Linked DNA regions of Lytechinus pictus. The protein of the gene in region 2 purifies or fractionates together with the protein of the main gene of each other region. This does not show direct contact. Links are inferred from orthologs where the notes say so. Each region holds a gene or a part of one and is shown on either strand. Other genes may lie near its edges. The genes, in order: uncharacterized protein LOC129269308, tRNA-splicing endonuclease subunit Sen15-like and polyribonucleotide 5'-hydroxyl-kinase Clp1-like.

Evidence for each region.
Region 1: the proteins of tRNA-splicing endonuclease subunit Sen15-like (region 2) and uncharacterized protein LOC129269308 purify together in Homo sapiens (affinity purification with mass spectrometry; 4 studies listed by BioGRID and IntAct, counting the BioPlex papers as one, with this or other methods). This does not show direct contact. The link is inferred for Lytechinus pictus from reciprocal best matches to the Homo sapiens genes TSEN15 and TSEN54.
Region 3: the proteins of tRNA-splicing endonuclease subunit Sen15-like (region 2) and polyribonucleotide 5'-hydroxyl-kinase Clp1-like purify together in Homo sapiens (affinity purification with mass spectrometry; 4 studies listed by BioGRID and IntAct, counting the BioPlex papers as one, with this or other methods). This does not show direct contact. The link is inferred for Lytechinus pictus from reciprocal best matches to the Homo sapiens genes TSEN15 and CLP1.

What each region holds. Positions count from the first base shown.
Region 1 is NC_087254.1:22,852,487-22,856,245, forward strand, and holds the start of uncharacterized protein LOC129269308, read right to left. Parts: upstream 2,388-3,759; 5' UTR 2,106-2,387; intron 510-2,105; exon of another isoform or gene 1-509.
Region 2 is NC_087259.1:12,404,471-12,407,604, forward strand, and holds the start of tRNA-splicing endonuclease subunit Sen15-like, read right to left. Parts: upstream 2,301-3,134; 5' UTR 1,909-2,300; coding exon 1,834-1,908; intron 1-1,833. Other genes in the region: uncharacterized protein LOC129277298, read left to right, coding at 2,301-3,134. UniProt on the Homo sapiens protein: Non-catalytic subunit of the tRNA-splicing endonuclease complex, a complex responsible for identification and cleavage of the splice sites in pre-tRNA. It cleaves pre-tRNA at the 5' and 3' splice sites to release the intron.
Region 3 is NC_087257.1:17,667,602-17,671,360, reverse strand, and holds the start of polyribonucleotide 5'-hydroxyl-kinase Clp1-like, read right to left. Parts: upstream 2,994-3,759; 5' UTR 2,734-2,993; coding exon 2,635-2,733; intron 561-2,634; exon of another isoform or gene 451-560; intron 1-450. UniProt on the Homo sapiens protein: Polynucleotide kinase that can phosphorylate the 5'-hydroxyl groups of double-stranded RNA (dsRNA), single-stranded RNA (ssRNA), double-stranded DNA (dsDNA) and double-stranded DNA:RNA hybrids. dsRNA is phosphorylated more efficiently than dsDNA, and the RNA component of a DNA:RNA hybrid is phosphorylated more efficiently than the DNA component.

The DNA.
Region 1 (3,759 bases), on a different chromosome or scaffold from region 2:
AGAAACTTTGAAGTTTTATGAATAAAATGATGTATAATTCAAGGGCATAAATTGCCCCACATAGCAGCGCATTGCACTTTAAAAAGAAGGATTACACAGTCCCAGTCATTGCATTTTGTGTAAGTTATGAAAATCAACTTTTGCTGTAAAAAAATCTGCACATTCTCCCATTTAAACAGAAATATCTCTGTCAATATTTGACATCATGAGTTGATTTTAAGCACCATTCTTTTTATACCACAAGCTTTCAAATAGTACCAAATTTGTTGGGATTCCTTCAAAAGGCTTCAAGATTTCAAAAAGCCACTGTCTCCCCACTCAAACAAGCTTTTATCATTTTTTTTGACAGAACAAAGTCTGCATATTTTTCCCTGTAAATTGGAATATCTCCGTCAATATATCAGACAATGAGTAGATTGAAGCACCATTATTTTTCTTATTTCACAATTTTTCCAACGATATCAAATTTGTTGGGATTCCTTCAAGATTTTAAAAAATCACCGTACTCCCTACTAGTTTAGGTGATAATAGAGGACTTGTCTTAGGCCTATATTTTACTTTTAATCATACCAGTCAAGATCAACAGATAACGAACGTAGACCTCACTCATGTCACTCCCAAGTCCCAGCTCACAACACAAGCCATCCATTTCAGGCATCACACTCAAACAGCTCAACCTAAGTCTAAAAATGAGGGCCAGCCATGTCTCCAAGTTCAAAATAGAAACACTGCTCAAATAAGGTGTGAACACGAAAGACTTCCTTATGTCCCCTCCACTAATTTTTAAAAATACTTCTCCAAAACCCTCTTCTCTCATTCTCTTTTTCTTCTTTTTTTTCTTCTTACTTCCGGTTGGAACTTGGATTCGAACCTCTCGTTGCAGAACGATGAATCTCCAGTCTCTCGCCTTACTCACTGAGCTAGCCACAGAAATTGTTGAAAGCAAACGGTTTCAACCGATATTACGACTAGTCTACTCTCCAAGAGTATTGGGCATTTATTTTTCTGACTAAATATACCAATGATATCGGGAATTACACACACTCGAATTTTTGACGGAATAAAGCCATATTTTGGTATGTATCCAACTTTTCCTTCTTAAAGGCCAAGTCCACCCCAGAAAATATTTGATTTGATTCGATAGAGAAAAATCAAACAAACATAACGCTGCAAGTTTCATCGAAATCGGATGTAAAATATGAAAATTATGACATTTTTAAGTTACGCTTATTTTTCACAAAACAGTTCAATGCACAACTCAGCGATATGCAAATGAGAAAGTCGATGATGTCCATCACTCACTATTTCTTTTGTTTTTTATTGTTTGAATAATACAATATTTCAATTTTTACAGATTTGCCAATAAGGACCAACTTAACTTAACCATAAACTGTTAAAATAATGGTAATTCCACATGTTCAGTGAGAAATAAAACTTTGTTTCACTTGACGAGAAGAAAATTAGAATATTTCATATTTCATATAATAAAATAGAAAAGAAATAGTGGGTGACGTCATTAGTCTGCCAATGTGCATACCGACCAGGATGTGCATATAACTGTTTTGTGAAATTAAGCGAAACTTAGAAATGTCATAACTTTCTTATTTTACATCCGATTTTGATGAAATTTTCAGTGTTTTGCTTGTTGGATTTTTCTCCTTTTTTTCAAATCAACTTTTTGTTGGGGTGGACTTGTCCTTTAAATCTCTTAGTCAGATATATGTTGTTAGATAATTCTTGATAAACCTTCTCCATATTTTTTTTTTCAATTTTAGTGGAGGGGACATATGGACATGATGGAAGTCTTGCCAATTACACAAGCTATCAAGTATAAATAATCAAGGAATCGTGATTTCCCCCATAATTTGTGTGCTTAAGAAATTCCACATGCTGACATGGTAATGGTCGTTTTTGTGTAGAGCCTGGGCGCTGGCATACACACGACACTCAGTCGATAGTGAGCTCCATTTGAGAATTCTCTAACTTTGTTACATATCTACGACTACGAGTACGACTACGCAATATAACGCACAAAAATCCTGCTTTTGGGATAGATCAAGAAAAGGGTATAATATACGCATTTTCGAAACATAAAGTAAACTTACCATAAATCATGTGAATTGTGGACTTTTTAAATAATTTTTTTGGCCAGGCGTACCGTACCGGTCCTCCGTATTGTTTTGAAGTTGAATCATTCACGATACGCGGCCGTACCGTACCCTCGCGCTCTCTTGATTTAAGGCCCGGGCGCCGGCTGCACTCGCCTAGCTTCGGCCGGCGGGAGCGCCGCTCACATCGCCTTTTACTCGGCAGATAATGCAGATATATGCAGATCGGCGTCACTGGTCGTCGTCACACGGCAGTACACGTGCATTTGGACCTTGTATAGTATACAACAACGAACGTAGAGGGCAGCAACACACATGCGTGTTGCTCTAAGGAAGGTCAACTCCGCTCGAATTTTGTGACCACTTTAAAAAATAAGGTGGGGTTTTGGGAAATTTGTCGAGTTGATTTTTTTTCATTTGTTAATTTCAAATATTTTTTAATGAACAATTATTAGATCGGTCATTCTGGGTATAAATATTAAAAATATTACTTTTATTTTTAAAGAAAATATCTAGCTTAAATAATCATGATTTTGACATTTTTCCTCATTTTGGAATATTAAGCCTGTGACGAGGATACCTCATATCTCTTATTTTCTTCTGCTGAATTTCGCTGCACCACTAATAAATGCTTAGACAACCACCGTAATAATCGAGGTCATTTTTCTGGCCTGGGTGCGCCGAGTCTGGCCCGGTCGCGCAGCTAGCTAGTGACGTTGATGATGCGCTGGGGCTTCAGGCGACTCGTCATAGATCTAGCAACTTAGACAATGACGTCTAATTTGCCTGGCCTGATTTGAAGTGTAATGGCTTCAGGGCTGATGTTTATCAACGATGATTGTTCAAGGTTAGATTTCAAATTTTAAATGTCATTTGACTTTTAAGTCTATAAATCTGAAATAAAGGCGCTGTATCCCCGAAATCCGGGTCTAAATTTCAACTCTGAGTCCGAGACCATGGCATGGACGGCGAAAAAACAACCCATGCATCGGATGCATTGCATTGGCTGCGCGCTGCGCTGCAGCTGCACTGTGATGATGGGTTCAGCGAAGAGCTCAGAGAAAATAAGGTGGTTATATTCAATCCCGAAATGCTTTGCGAGTGGTCACAAAATCGTCTCGACGCAAATCACCTAATACAGCCGTCTGGTGAAATCGCTGATAACAACAATCACCGATTTGGTAATGATTTTAGTTTCCTGAAACTTATATTTGTAAAGTTTTAAATATCAAAGTATGTTTTTATATGTATGTATATTCCTCAACATATTTTTAAAGTTATCTTTGATATTGTTGTAGTCATATTCTTTCATATTCGTTTTTTTATCGCTACTAATTTGTTGTTGTATTGGATCGGCATTTGATTTCGTTGGCATGAACAATAAAATACGCGCGCAGCTCAGCTGCATGCGCGTATCGAGTTGACCTTCCTTATAGCAACACGCTTGTGTGTTGCTGCCCTCTACGTTCGTTGGTATACAAGTACATAAACACGAACAAAGGAAGCTACCAATGTCTCTCTATTCTATTACGCAATAATTGGGGCGGTTGGGGGAGGGGCATTATGCTAGGAAACCGATATGTTCAAATGCTAACTTTTCATAGATATCGTTTATAGGGTCGGTATTCATGATGCAAGAGAATGTCGCTAA
Region 2 (3,134 bases):
TTTTGTATACGCCCTCTATTGGTGGAAAATAATATGGCAAGAAATTTTGCATTTTTTTATCTCTATTTTTAATTAAAGGAAAATGAAAGGATAGATTTATTATCTGGTCATAAACTGATTACATTTCACTGATTAAAATAAAATTAAAATGAGGCAGAACGGTTTCCTATTTCCCATGATATGCCAAGTCAAATTTATCAATATTTTGATTTTGAAAGACCCGTGGAGATCGCCATTTTGCTCATCCTCCCTATATCTCTGTGGGGGGGTTGTGACGTCAGCGACGTACAACTCGGTGTCCGACCTCGGCACTCGCCTTTGATTGCTAGCATAAAATACATGGGCCAGAGTGGATCTGGCTGCCGAAAATAGGTCAGTAAGGGGCACAAAATGCAGCTTTTGCCAAATTCCTGATCCGCAGAAGAGGCCAGAAATCTCTTTAAAAATGATTGGCTGCACTAAAGGTGGAAAAAAACTACAATTCTTCCAAATTCAAGAGGAATGATGTTGTTCGTAGCGAGCATTTTACTGATTTCTTCGGCCGAGTATTGGGGCTCGAAGTCGTAGGCTCTCAGGCCTTCTAACTAAGTTCTATTTCAATACAAACGTCCGATAATACTTAAATCGATGGTAACAAATAATAAACAACGTTAGATATAATGAAATATAGCACAATTAACAATTTAACGATATTCAAACGGGATAAACAACCAAACTTCCAACATAAAAGTCAACACGATCACTCGGTTCAGGGGCCGGCGGTCGGCACTCAAGTGTTCATTACATGCTGCCGCGCACAGAAAAATCAAGCCATGGAAGTCGTGTGTTGTGGACACCAGAAGGAAGATCCCAGCACGCGCGATCCACTAGATAGAAATCCACTGAAAAATGCGGTTCACGGTGCTAGCTATATACTAACCTCGCAATACGTGTGATGAGTGGGTGGCTGCACTGTCTACGAACAAATTTAGCTTTGTCAAATTTGCCAATTTGGATATCGTAAATACATGTGTAAACATTTTCATCAAAACTCATCAATTTGTGTTTTAAACCATGAAATAATTTTAATAGCTTTTTGATAATTATTTAAAGTGTTTTATGTGTATATTATATTCATATCTTGTAAAAAAGTATCTATATTATGCAAACTCGGGGTTGGTTTCAGCCTGTGACTAGCTGCACATGGAAGTTAGTACCGAGAGCAGTTGTACGTCGCTGACGTCACGATTTTGAATGAACCTCGCAACAATGGCGATCTCCATTTAGTCAAGAGACTTTGAACGTGAAGAAGCCCAACTTTGAAGAGGTGGTACTCCACTCTGGGAAATCGGATTTGGGTATAAGTGGATTCATTTTTATTATCATTTACTTATCAATGATATTATGTGGTATTACATTTTGGGTTTCATTCTCCTTTAAGAAAAAAATAATTTAAAGAATCAAATTTAGGCCTACTTAAGAAATAAGGCCTTTAACTAAGGGCCAAGACCCAAGTTGTATGACGAATAGGTGTAATGGAAACTGTCAGTGTAAAAAAATAAAGCATTTGTCCCAAAGAAAAAGAGAAAATAAGCCAAACATTGCCATCCTTATTTTGCCACACATCGAGATATAACTGAGAACAAGGTTATATCATAACCTTGTTCAACCTTGAATGAGTGCGCTTCGCGTGCCAGAGCTCCATGGGCCTGGGTTAACCGGTACGTACTAACATAGAAAGAAAGGTGTGGGGCTGTTGACGTTGTGAATTTTATCACGACCAGAGAAATATACAACAACCCCAGTGAATAGTTGCACGTACGGATTCATAAAACGTATTGTCTGATTTGTTACCTTAGGATGATCTGAAAACCAAGAAAAGCGGTCAACTGTCACAGCTGTAGTTCCGGAATTTTGACCAGAATCCATTATTCGTTCTTGCCTCTTGGTTTTCGGAGTGACCGTGGTAGGTCTCGAAATATCTCGCACACAATATCAATAGCTCTCGATTCCCGCGAGATTTCACTTGTTATGTTAATTAGCCAAACTCTTTGACCAATCAGAGCCTGAATTGATGATGTCATATAATAATATGCACATGTTGATGTAAACACAGACATGTGTCATTCTAAATTTAGAAATGCATGGAGAGTTGCACTTGCTCTCCGATGTCGCAATACAAGGAAGACAAATTCCTGAATATATAAAGTTAAACCAATATTCACAGCAGCATTCAGTATTCCAACCGGCTGCAAGCCAAACAGGCATAAAGCCTTCTCGAAAAGGATTTTTCTTCTACTAGTGAGAAAAAAATATTGAGAATGGTTGCTGAAGCAGGAGAAATACAGGTGGAAAGTTTCCCCAAAGCCATCACTGGGAAACCACCTTCGAAATGTGCTGAAAAACTTACTGCCAAAAAAGCGGTGGTGTTGGCTCGCAAATCCAGTAGGAGAAATAAATCTCAGACTAAACCAAATCTAACGAATTCAGACAATGATACTGACATCGACAGTGACAAGAAGGAGAAAAAAAGGAAGAAATTTCAACCAGCTCCATGGTTGTGTGAAAACATGGGCGTTCAATCGGCAGCCCCAATTCGTTCCTTTTTGGATGACGCAATTGCCTTTATGGAAGGGAAAGAGCAGCCAAGTGAGGGCTGTTACAACAGGTATGATGAATCAGGATTTAACTTTGACGAGTATGAACGTGTCATGTTCCATCCAGTGAGATTAAAAAGGAAAACATGTTTAATGCACCGAGTGAAGACTAATCCCAAGATTAAGAATTATGCTACAAAATGCAAATTACAAGACAAGGTAATTGTGCAAGGGAAGAAGGTTGTGATTAATAATGGTGTGATGTCTCGACTTAGTGCACAGGATGAGGAGATCACAATAATCAAAGAACGACGAAATGACAGGACTTCTCGGAAGCTCGATCGCCTTGGTATACCAAGATACAGTGAATGGGTGCCAAAGGAGTCACAGACGGCTGAAAATGCATCGACGGCAAAAACGAAGCCAAATTACACCCGCGCAAAAAGGCCACGAAGGGGAATTCAAGTTGCCTTTCGGAAACCTCGCTGGACCCCAGAGCAGAAGGAGCAGCGAGTTTACATCCCACACGAGTTCGAGCTCGTGACCGCTCAAGTGGAC
Region 3 (3,759 bases), on a different chromosome or scaffold from region 2:
GGGTTTCACAAAATTTACCTTAACCATGCATAGATATCATTCTCCATCTCAACACTTGGAGACAAATATGCATGACCTACAAAAAGTATTCATCAGTTATATATGCCATCGCTGACAAGAGTTGATTTTACCAAATATATCCAATTGAAGACTATAAAAAACATGGACACGAATATGACATAATATTTTCACTTGCATGATGTAAGAAGAGGGGTTCACAAAATTGAACTCTTATCAGTAATCCAGCATTATCTAATCTCACTATTTTGAGCCCAAACAGATTGTATCATGTACGCTTCAGAAAAATAATTTCAAGGTTTTCTTAATCATGTCATTGTTGGCATGATTATAAAAACATAAGCACTATGCGACTTGCAAACATAAGATATGACATAACATTTTCCCCATCATGATGTAAAAAGAGAAATTATTCACAAATTGAACTTTTACCAGTAATCCAGCCTTATCCCCAGCAATTAGGCGTTACGGCATCATCGTCAAGATTCATGCGGAGAGCAATGTGACTCGGAGCATTTTGTGAGTCTGTATGATGACTTGCTATTAAGGAAAATAAATGACAGCAAGGCATGTTGCTAATCACCTCTCTGCATGCTTACCTGATCTTAATGTGATTGAAATAATAAGAATTATTTACTCTTACTAATTCCGTCATCAGTGGGAACCTAGCTTTTACAAGCTTTGTTTTTTAAAGGTCAAGTCCACCCCAGAAAAATGTTGATTTGAATAAATAGAGAAAAATCAAACTAGCACAACATTGAAAATTTCATCAAAATCGGATGTAAAATAAGAAAGTTATGACATTTTAAAGTTCCAAATATTTTTCACAAAACAGTGATATACACAACTGAGTGACATGCAGATGAGATAGTCGATGATGTCCCTCACTCACTATTTCTTTTTTTTTAATTGTTTTAATTATACAATATTTCATTTTTTACAAATTTGACAATAAGGATCAACTTGACTGAACCATATATTATCAAACAATGTTAATTCCACATGTTCAGGGAGGAATTAATCGTTGTTTCACTTGGCAATGAGGAAAAAATTAGAATATTTCATATAATAAAATACAGGAGAAATAGTGAGTGGATGACGTCATCAGTCTCCTCATTTGCATACAGACCAGGATGTGCATATAACTGTTTTGTGAAATTAGGCGAAACTTTAAAATGTCATAACTTTCTTATTTTACACCCGATTTTGATGAAATTTTCAGTGTTGTTTGTTGGATTTTTCTCTTTTTATTCAAATCAACTTTTTGTTGGAGTGGACTTGTCCTTTAAAGAGGATCCTCATTCATGTACATGTACATTGTTTATTTGCACATTTTTTTTGTGAAAGAGCAAAAGGAATTTTCAATTTTTTTTCATTATATTGAAATGATCAAGATGGACATGAACAACTTTGTGGAATTCACGCAAAACATTACAATAAAAAAGTAGAAATCAAATTCCATAGATGAAGAAATTAATTTTAAGGATGAATCCAATATTTAAATTTTAGCTTTTTTTTCAGCTCTTAAATAGAGAAAAACATATGAGAAAAGAGAGTCCAATATGAATTTTTATTCTCAAAAGAAAATGTAAATGAAAAAGGAAATACTCACAAAGAAGAATTCAGTTAGCTTAACTTTTAAAAGCAAAGAAAAGAAATATAGAAATGTGTGTGTGTGTCTTTGTTCAGGGGCAATTTATTTAAAGCCAAAAGCTTCAGGTTGACCAGTCTCTATATTTTTCGATTGTTCCACTGTACTTGTAAAAAAAAAAAGAAATAAGTGAAAAAAAGTTCATCTAAACAGATAGATTTTTGAGTATGCAAGCCCTTGTGGTGTGCAATCGGGGAGGGGGGGGGGAGACTGCATTGCCATGCACAAGTGCACCAGAGGGGGGGGGGAGGGGGTACATGTACTGGAATTATAACATGATACCTAGATGTAACAAAGTCGAAAATAGGGGGCTCTGGAACTAAACCTTGGTCTTAAATTAAAATGGGGGTCTCCAGAACGGCTCAACTACATACATACAGTACAAGTTTTACAAAGTACAAACCCACAAGTTTTATCCGTGGTCAAATTCATACCCTATTCAAGTATTTTTGTGTGCTTCTTCGACAATTTTGCCCCCACCCCCCGAACAAGTATAACCCCCAAAACATTTATTTTTACTTGACAAAAATTCATTTTCTGACATCCTTACATGTACTATGTAGATCCTCAAAGTGTCACACAAGAATTAAGCGTAATGATCGAAAAAAAGAACATGGTTGAGCGTGTTTACAGCAACATAGTTGAGTGCACCCCTTCTCCCCCCCCCCCCCATCAGGTGCACAATTGACAGGAAAGATATAAAATTATATTTCCATATTCATAATTCTAATCTAAGAAAATAAAAAATAACTTAAAATATATACCTGACGATGTTGAAGTCATGATGTACCGTATATGTATACTGTACAACTGCAACAAACAGATTAAGAAATACACTGTACATACATTTATACCAAAAAAATATGATATCAAATCATAACTACACTGTAATTAATTGTAAAAACATGTAGGCCTATATTTTATCACAAATTTGTAAAATTTTAATTTGACAATTAAATTCTTACCTCTTCTCCTAGACTGGCCTGAGCTTTTAACTCTTCCCAATTTGAGCAATCTTTCGCATTAACATTAATTTCAACGGGTATTTCTTCAGGGGGTTCCATATGGAATTATAACAGAGTATTACACCCAATGACAAGCAATCATGCAGCTACTACATTCAGGAAAATGAATTGAGCTGAATGCAGTATAGTATGCAATATATTTTGTACAGCTGATCATGGACCTACTGGCTCATGGTTCGTAGTAAATTTATGCAGGGTACCCCTGCAGCTGTTCACTAGAATACACACATTACAGCTACATGTAAATTGCACAGGGAACACACACTATACACAAACACATGCTCTGTGCATAGAGCTATAGCTCCATGCTATGTGCATTGTATTGTTATGTGCAGGGGGCAGCATGCGATATGCAATGTACATTGTACACACAAAAAGCACATGTCAATCCACAAGGCAAAGAATAGTCTCCCCATGCACACTTTTTAAATAACAACCTTGGCTGACAGAATTTGTCATGTGTATGCTTGCGGGGATTAACTCATTAATTAATACTTGTACAAATGTGAATGCAAATAAATATACATGTAAGAGTGGACTTCATGACATAAAGCAGATTATTAAATTTAACTGAAAGAACTAGGAACATAACTTATTGACAAATTGACTGAAATCAAAGTCTACAATAAAAACTCATGCATATTCAATTTGCTGGAATGAATATTCATCAGGGCATGAAGGGGTATGGACAAACTTACAAATTTTACCTGTTTTTCAAAAAAAAATACACCCCGAATCAATATATAGTCAAATCATTCACAGATTACTTGAAGTAAACTACATTCTTTTCAATCAAGCTCCTAAAAGTAAAAAATAATCATGAAGGCAGACAAATATTTGACTGGATAAATAATTACTAACTGTACCAGGAAGGTACTCATGAATTGTACATACCAGAATCCAACTTTAAATACAGTATCATCAGTTAGGATTAATCCTTTCCTGTTACCTCTAAGGAGGTAGCAAGATGAATATGATGAGCTGGTTTGGATGATCTACATGATTACTCCATGGGAGTGGGGAACATGACAACCCCCCATAACCCCATCTCTGATTCAACTGATG